Linked DNA regions of Macaca fascicularis. The protein of the gene in region 2 interacts with the protein of the main gene of each other region in a pairwise test. Links are inferred from orthologs where the notes say so. Each region holds a gene or a part of one and is shown on either strand. Other genes may lie near its edges. The genes, in order: E2F6 and TFDP1.

Evidence for each region.
Region 1: the proteins of TFDP1 (region 2) and E2F6 interact in binary tests that used the Homo sapiens proteins (3 or more experiments, as listed by UniProt). The link is inferred for Macaca fascicularis from reciprocal best matches to the Homo sapiens genes TFDP1 and E2F6.

Annotation. Positions count from the first base shown.
Region 1 is NC_088387.1:110,642,837-110,647,286, reverse strand, and holds the start of E2F6 (transcription factor E2F6), read right to left. Parts: upstream 2,933-4,450; 5' UTR 2,654-2,932; coding exon 2,546-2,653; intron 1-2,545. UniProt on the Homo sapiens protein: Inhibitor of E2F-dependent transcription. Binds DNA cooperatively with DP proteins through the E2 recognition site, 5'-TTTC[CG]CGC-3'. Has a preference for the 5'-TTTCCCGC-3' E2F recognition site.
Region 2 is NC_088391.1:104,025,159-104,028,967, reverse strand, and holds part of TFDP1 (transcription factor Dp-1), read right to left. Parts: intron 3,686-3,809; coding exon 3,564-3,685; intron 2,163-3,563; coding exon 1,997-2,162; intron 1,529-1,996; coding exon 1,385-1,528; intron 902-1,384; coding exon 833-901; intron 1-832. UniProt on the Homo sapiens protein: Can stimulate E2F-dependent transcription.

The DNA.
Region 1 (4,450 bases), on a different chromosome or scaffold from region 2:
AACCTAAGTAGGAAGGTCTAGTAGACAGCTGGAAAACCCTGAGGGAGATTTATAGATTTGGGAATTACGATATGGTAACTGAAAATACCAGAAATGTATGTCTAAGATTTCAAGCGATGTATCTGCTGATATTGCATGCAAACTAAGTGGTTTTTCCACAGTGAGCTTAGAGTTTTTATCAAATTCTCAAATATTAAGACGACCAATACAGATGGTACCAATATACAGCTGATCCTCAAACAACACAGGTTTGAACTGTGTGGGTCCACTTAGATGCCAATTTTCTTTACCCCCTGCCACAACTTAGAGAGCAAAACCAACTCCTCCTCTTACTCCTCTTCATCAGCCTACTCAGTGTGAAGACAAGGATGAAGACCTTTACGATCATCTAATTCCCCTGAATGAGTAGGACTTTCTCTTATTTATGATTTTCTTAATAACGTTTTCTTTAGCTACTTTATTATAAGAATACACTAACTAATACATGTAAATACAAAATATGTGTTAATCAACTGTTTACAGTATCAGTAAGGCTTCCAGGAAACAGTAAAGTTTTGGGGGAATCAAAGTTATATTCAGATTTTGAATTTCATGTGATTTGGTGCCCCAAACCCTGAGTCGTTCAAGGATCAAATGTAGACGGTAACATAAGTCATGGGAGGAGAGAATGAACTCCCCTAAGAAGAATGTGTAGAGACAGCAGAAGAGAACCCTGAATATCATCAACATGTGGCCAGCCACGGTGGCTCACACCTGTAATCCCAGCACTTTGGGAAACTGAGGTGAGAGGACAGCTTGAGCCCAGGAGTTCAAGACCAGCCTGGGCCACGCAGGAAGACTTCCATATCTAAAAATAAAAAAATTAGCCAGGCCTTGTGGCATGTGCCTGTGGTCCCAGCTACTAGAGAGGTGGAGGCAGAAGAATCACTTGAGCCTGGGAGGTCAAGGCTGCAGTGAGCCAGGATGTGCCACTGCACTCCAGCCAGGGTGACAGAGTGAGATCCTGTCTCGGGGGAAAAAAAAATGAAGGACTGGGAAGAGGATGAGGACAAGGAGAGCCCAGAGAAGCAGATGGAACATCAATGTCAAGGAAACTCAAGGGAGAGTTTCCAACACAAGTAGTTTTGTGTCAAAACTACAACAGCTGCTGGAATTGACGAGATTGTCGGTGACCCTGGTTAGAATGGTCTCACAAGTGTGCTGAGGATAGGGGTCCCCAGCAGTGGGTTGGCTGATAATGAGACGATCAAGTGGAAAGAGTGAGTGTAAATAACTTTTTCAAGAAGTTTAGCTGTGAAGGGGAAGAGAGACAGTAGATGGCAAGGGATATGGAATTAAGGGAGGGATCTTTTAAGATGGGGATGGATTGAGAATGTGGTTTTAGTAGTCAAGAATTTATCATCTGGAGTTAGACATTTGGAGGTTCAACCCAAGTTTCTCCACTTACTATCTAGCCACAGGCAAGCCGGCATTACATGCATCTCCAGGTCTGTTTTGGCAACCGTAAAACAAGAATAATAGTCTTTTACTATTATAAAACACTGCTGTGAGAAATTAAATGAGACAATAATCACAAACTATTTGGTATGGGGACCAGGCATAATGACTTGGGAAAATGTTTAATTACTACTAGTTATAGGAAGAAAGCAGCAGAGAAATTGAAAATATGGGGAGAGGCCGGGCTCGGTGGCTCACGCCTTGTAATCCCATCACTTTGGGAGGCCGAGGCGGGTGGATCACCTGAGGTCGTCAGGAGTTCGAGACCAGCTTGGCCAACACGGTGAAATCCCGTCTCTACTATAAATACAAAATTAGCTGGGTGTGGTGGCGCATGACTGTGATCCCAGCTACATGGGAGGCTGAAGCAGAAGAATCGCTTGAACCTGGGAGGCGGCGGTTGCAGTGAGCTGAGATCGTGCCATTGCACTCCAGCCTGGGGAACAAGAGTAAAAACTCCATCTCAAAAAAAGAAAAAGAAAATACGGGAGGAATGGAAAAGAACGCATTTGTTAAGGACCTTGAGAACCGGGGAATACAGTATCTGGTCCAGAACAAGAGTAGAAGAAATCAGTCTTTGTGGGAAAGGGAGCCAAATCTCCTAACCATTTTCTCCGTCAAACAGGTGGGGAGATAATTTTATGAATGGGAGCTGTGGCGTGGTAAATATAAAGCGTGGACAAGGTTTTAAACGGCTGCAGTAGAGCAGAAGAGAGAGAAGGTAGAAGAACAAATGATAGGTTGCAGAGATACAGCTAGAGTCCACTGAAGGAGAAAAACATGGCCTTTCCAATGCAAAGTTGAGCAATTTTCTCCAACAGTGCCCTGAAGTTCCGATGTAAAAGTCCAGAAGACTGACACCACGTCTGTGAACAGATGCTGAAAGCAGAAGGCGGGAGAGCGCAGTTTCGCAGCACGTGATGGGCAGCGCCTGGCCCAGGGGGAGCAGACGACCGAGACGACGGCCAGCGGGGTTGGCGGCGGCGCGGGGAGGAGGGGGCCAGCTTTGGGAGACCCCCGCCCGTCCCCCTCCCGTCCCGGAGCTTACCAGCAGTCCCTCCACGTTGATGGGGTCTCGGCACCGACGGCGAACCGTCTCCTCCGCGGGGTCCAGGAGGAGACTGGGCAACTTCCTCGCCGGCCGCTGCTGACTCATGCTGCCCGGCCGGGCGTCCCGCTCCCCTCGCACCCCGCGAGCTCTCCCGCCCTCTCGCGCGCAGCTCGATCACCGCCCCCCACGCGCCGATTTCCAAGGGCCCAGAAACTGACGGATCCGCGGCGTCCTCCAAGGCCCCGCCCGGCTAGGCCGTCCCACCCGCCAGCAAACGCGGCACTGCCTCACGTGCCCGGGAACTCCCGACGAAGACGGGAAAGGAGGAGGTAGACCCGCGGCTCTCAAGTAGCCCGGCCCGCCATTTTTCCGCATGCGCAGTGTACCGCCCCCCTCTGCGCATGCCCGCCGCGGCCGGAGCGCTCCCACGCACCGATCCTCTCCCGGCGGCTGGCGCCCGGGAAACCCGGACCGCGGAATCCACGGAGAGGCTGGCAAAGGAAAAGGAAGAGGTGGAGCCGGATTCCAGAGGAAGGGAACGGGGGTGAGAGAAAACAGGCAGCTGGGAAAACGCAGCGCTCGCCTGGAATTCTCGACGGTGATAACTGAAAGCTCTCAGCCGCAAAGATGTTCATTTATTCCTTTTTTTAATTTTAATTTTTTTTTTTTTTGTCGCCCAGGCTGGAGTGCAGTGGCGTGGTCAGGGCTCACTGCAGCCTCGAATTCTTAGGCTCAAGCGATCCTCCCACCTCAGCCTCCCAAGTAGCTGGGACTACAGGCGCGCGCCACTGCGCCCGGCTAATTTTTAATTTTAATTTTAGTAGAGGCAGAGTCTCAGTATATTGCACCGACTGGTCTTGAACTCTGGGGCTCAAGCCATCCTCCCACCTTGGCCTCCCAAGTGCTGGGATTATAGGCATGAGCTACCACGCCCGGCCTTCATTTATTCCTGAGCTCTGTTAGCACATCTTACAGGCGGGTCAGTGTTGATGCTTAGTAAATGTGAGCAACCAAACCATTGTGGTATCGTTTTACTTCTGCCTGCCTGCCTTCTTTCCTTCCTTCCTGCCTTCCTTCCTTCCTGCCTTCCTTCCTTCCTTCCTTCCTCCCTCCTTCCTGTTTGATGAATGAGTTATCGTGGACCTATAGTGTCAGATATTGGGGTGAGCACAGGCGATACTTACTCATTTGGATATGCCACAGGTTCAACCTCCAATTTCAGTGGGGACAGATAAGTAAACAGAGCATGTTAATTAAGCTGGAGCCAGAGGTGTGTTTTCAAATCCTGGCTCCTACTTATAAACCAGAAGACCTTATTAAGCCAGTTACTTAATCTGCCTGTGCCTCAGTTTCCTTATTTGGAAAATGCGAATAATGACAATACTTACCTGATAAGGTTGTTGTGAGGATTAAATGGATTAATGGATACAGGTTGCTGTGATTAGAACAGAGGCCAGCACATGTTTGAAACAAAAAGGTAACACACCGTGGTGTGTACAGAGTTGGAGGGAAACAACCGGTTAGACTGGGGGTTTCTACACAGCCTGAGGTGGGCGAGGTGAGGCAGGGAGAAATCCCTGAAGAAGCTGGCTCCCCACTAGACTATGATGTCAGAGGTCTCTAATCTTTTTTTTTTCCCCATTACCCAGGCTGGAGGGCAGTGGCATGGTCATAATTCACTGTAGCATCAAACTCCTGGTCTCAAGTGGTCTCCCAGTTAAGACTCCCACGTAGCTAAGAGTACTGGTGCATGCCACTATGCCCGGCTAATTTTTTAAAATGTATTATTATTTTTTGAACTCCTTACCTTAAGCAATCCTCCTGCCTCAACCTCCCAAGGTGCTGGAGTTATAGGCTTGAGACACCATGCCTGGCTTCTAATCTTTGTATCTCTGTCATCTA
Region 2 (3,809 bases):
ACCCTGGGTCTATCCCCGTTAGGCAGGTACTAAGGCACTGGCAACCAGGACTGTCCCTCCTGACAGACTCTGTGGCCCTGAGCAGCTCTCGCCCACGAGTCTCCATCACCATGGCTGCCACACCATCCCCTCTGGGAGGGCTCGAGCACACCTCGGCCAGAGCAGCAGTCAGCTCTGCACTGAGCACCTTGCACACGACCCCCTCCACACCAGACACGGGGCCCCCAGGGGTGCCGCCCACCCTCAGCACTCAGTGGGAGGTGGGGAAGGCCAGCTCCAGGGCCCTGATCAGCACTGTCAAGACCCAGGTGCATTGCGCCCACCACAGTTTTACATGCCTCGCCTGGCACCTGGGCCTTGGGTTAAGCACCTCTGAGGGGATTTTTCAAATGCTGCTTTTGCATGAAGTCATCCCTCCATCTGTCTTTTGGCTGTTTAGACACTGTGACGAGGGATACACACATACACATGCACACACACAGGCACATGGATGCAGGCACACACACGCAGGCACGCACACACATGCGTGCACACACACGCAGGCACACACGCAGGCATGCACACACATGCACACACACAGGCACATGGACGCAGGTGCACACACACATGCACACACACACGCACGCATGCATGCATACGCACACACATACACAACCTCGCTCTGGGAACACGGCCCACATTCAACACCTATGAGATGAACTCACACTCAGAATCTTAAAGCAGTCATTTAATTTGCCACACAGGAGCGTAACCCAAGGCAGTATGTTGCTGTTATAAAACTAAATTAGTAAAATAAAAATTACCCTGCCTCCAAAGATATGTATTCTCTTACCTGTAGAATAAGTTCTTGAAGTTGAGACTGTTTCTGTTTTATTCTTTCAAGTCTCCTCTGTCTTTCCACCTTCAAAAACAAACCCCCCATGTAGAGAATCATCACGATTGTTCCATACAGTGCATTTTACAACCCGCATCCTCAGTGTTACCTATGTTTACCTTGAATGTAATCGAAGGGATATGGACAAATCTAGACATAGCAGATGCCACAAAATACAGGTGAGTTTTTCTTCCATTTCTAAACTATACCTTTTCCCCTCTCCTCTCATTTCTTGGATTTAACTATGGTATCTAAAAAGAAAACAAAAATCCCACAAACTAGGATTCACAATTAACCTGTGCTAGAGTTTAACACACTCTAGTGGGTCTGGGCCAACCATGCTCCCTCCCCTGACAGCCGAGACTGAGAAACGCAGGGAGACGTCTGCATGACCGTCTGCCAGCCGTCTGGACACAGAGAGCATAAGGGCATGGAGCCCAGACCCTTCTGAGTGACGGACAACAAACACATCTACACAGACTTGAAGGGAAATCAAGGTTGAAGGGCCACCTCTAAGTTCTGACATTCCTGAGCCGAGTTGGTGGGCAGACCAATCCACTTGATCTCCTTCTTCTCCTTGGAGATGATGTTCATGGCCATCAGCACGTTTAAGGCATCGTAGACGCGCCGTCTTATGTTCTTCTGGTCATAAGCCTGCGGATGACAGGGAGTGGATTTTCCAAATGATCCAAAAAAGCCTGTGGATCCCACCTTAAACTGTAGGCCACGTGCACCGGCTTGAAGGGGCACCCCGCTCACAGAGCTGTCACCCCAACACGTCCTCAGGGAGCACTCCCACCCTACAGATGATGCAGGGCAAGACAGGGCTGTGCGAATCCCAGTGTGTTCCAGGAGGGGAGCTGGGGGCCCTCGGGTGTCGAGCCCAGCTGGCGAGGAGGGCACGTCTGCATTTCTGGGCCGCTGGATGTGCAGAGCCAGCCCACGTGCTCGCTCACTGACGCTGACAGAGCATCATGCCAGCAAATGGACTGGGAAAAATTCTGTCATGCTGTACTTGGAATTTTCTGTATGGTTTTAACTGTTCCCAATATTAAAAGAGTAAAACGTGCCACACCACTTGGTTCCGCTACCCTGGCCTCTCGGCCCCCAGCACACACTTACTGACTCGTTTGGTAAGATGTGGTTGTCGGCAGCACTGAACTCCGCGACCAGCTCGTCCGCCACTTCGTTGTAGGAAGTGGTCCCTTTCCTCTGCACCTTCTCGCAGACCTTCATGGAGAAATGCCGCAGGCCCTTGCCATTCTTCTCTCCTTTCCTGTTGCGCTTCCTTCAAAATACAAAGGAAAAAAGAAGCGACCGTCAGCCCTCCTGAGCATCAGTCTGAATCGAGGAATGCTTTTACCTGAGAGCTCTAATGAGCTGCACAAAAAGGGGCCACATCCCACGGGCGCAGCAGATCCAACACGTGAGCAGGCCAGGACCACCTAGCCCCAGCCCCCAGGCCCAGTGCTCCTGCAGGTCAGAAAGCGAGTGTCTCCCTGGCAGGCTGCACCTCTGTCCTTCCAAGTGTCAGGGAAAACGGGAGGCGTCCCCAGGACCCGAATCAGCATATGGAAGGCCTATCAGTACTCAGCATATGAGAGGCCTATCAGTACACCAAGCACTTCTTTTTTTTTTTTTCTTTTTTGAGATGGAGTCTCGCTCTGTAGTGGGCTGGAGTGCGGTGGCACGATCTTGGCTCACTGCAACCTCCGCCTCCTGGGTTCAAGCGATTCTCCTGCCTCAGCCTCCCAAGTAGCTGGGATTACAGGCGCCCGCCCGCCACCACACCTGGCTAATTTTTTTGTATTTTTAGTAGAGACAGGGTTTCAGCATGTTGGCCAGGATGGTCTCAATCTCTTGACCTCATGATCTGCCGGCCTCGGCCTCCCACAGGGCTGGGATTACAGGTGTGAGCCACAGGCATCACTTTTCTAAAGAGGGCAACCAGAATCAGGAACTATGGGACATTTCAGTGTACATTTGGGAATTTTTAGGACAAATTTCAGCAGGCTATAATTTCATACGGCTTGGGCTGTGATAGCCGCTTGACAACAGGTGCAAACCACTAAGTGTTCTTCACACAGAGGGAAAGCCCAACTCTACACTCTGGTCAGTCCCCACGTGGCGGGAAAGGTCACCTGCGGTCCCAGCTGGTGAAGCTTTGGGCACCGACACAGGTAGGTTTTTGTAGCTTTGCATGTGTGTTTTTTTAAGGAAAGACACAGCTCATCAGATCTTGCTTTAGTGGAAGGAGCCACTCTGGTGGGACCACTCACGGGGGCCGTAACCCCAGGGGCAGTAGAGGCTGCATTCAGGGGCAGTGGGTGAAATCCATCCCGCGTGCTCCCAGCACAGACGATGAAAAGTCTCCAAGGTCCTGTGGCAAGTACAAGGCCAGCTTCTCCCCGTCTTGGCCAAGAGCTGCCAGCCCTTCCAAGAGCACCCACTACACCAGACACAAAGCAGGGTGGGCAGTGCCCAGCCCGACTTCTCCGTGACCGAGGCAGTGCGCCTCGACTGCACACCTGTGCGGGGCACGATGATGGGTGAGTGTGATTCGGAGGCTGACATCAATGCGCATGGGAGCCCCACCGTGCGACTGTGTCACGCACGTGGCCCAGGAGAACGTGGAGGTGCGAACCGCAAGCAATCCTACAACTCTAAGGGTCCGGAGGGAAGTGCTCACCCGGCAGACCAAGGTGAGGAGTCGGAAGGCTGGTTCTGAGAGGCAAAGTGAGTGCTGGGGGTGTGTGGGCTTCCTACCACCAGGGTGTTTGACGCTGCCGGTCTCTGAGGCGTACCAATTACCTATAGTCAAAAAAGACAATTCAGACAGTCAGTCCCCGCCCACACGGCGAGGGTGCCACGCCCACCAACTGTTCGCTATCCACAGCCACTGTGGAATTTTGTTAACCACAGCGAGCAGCCACGA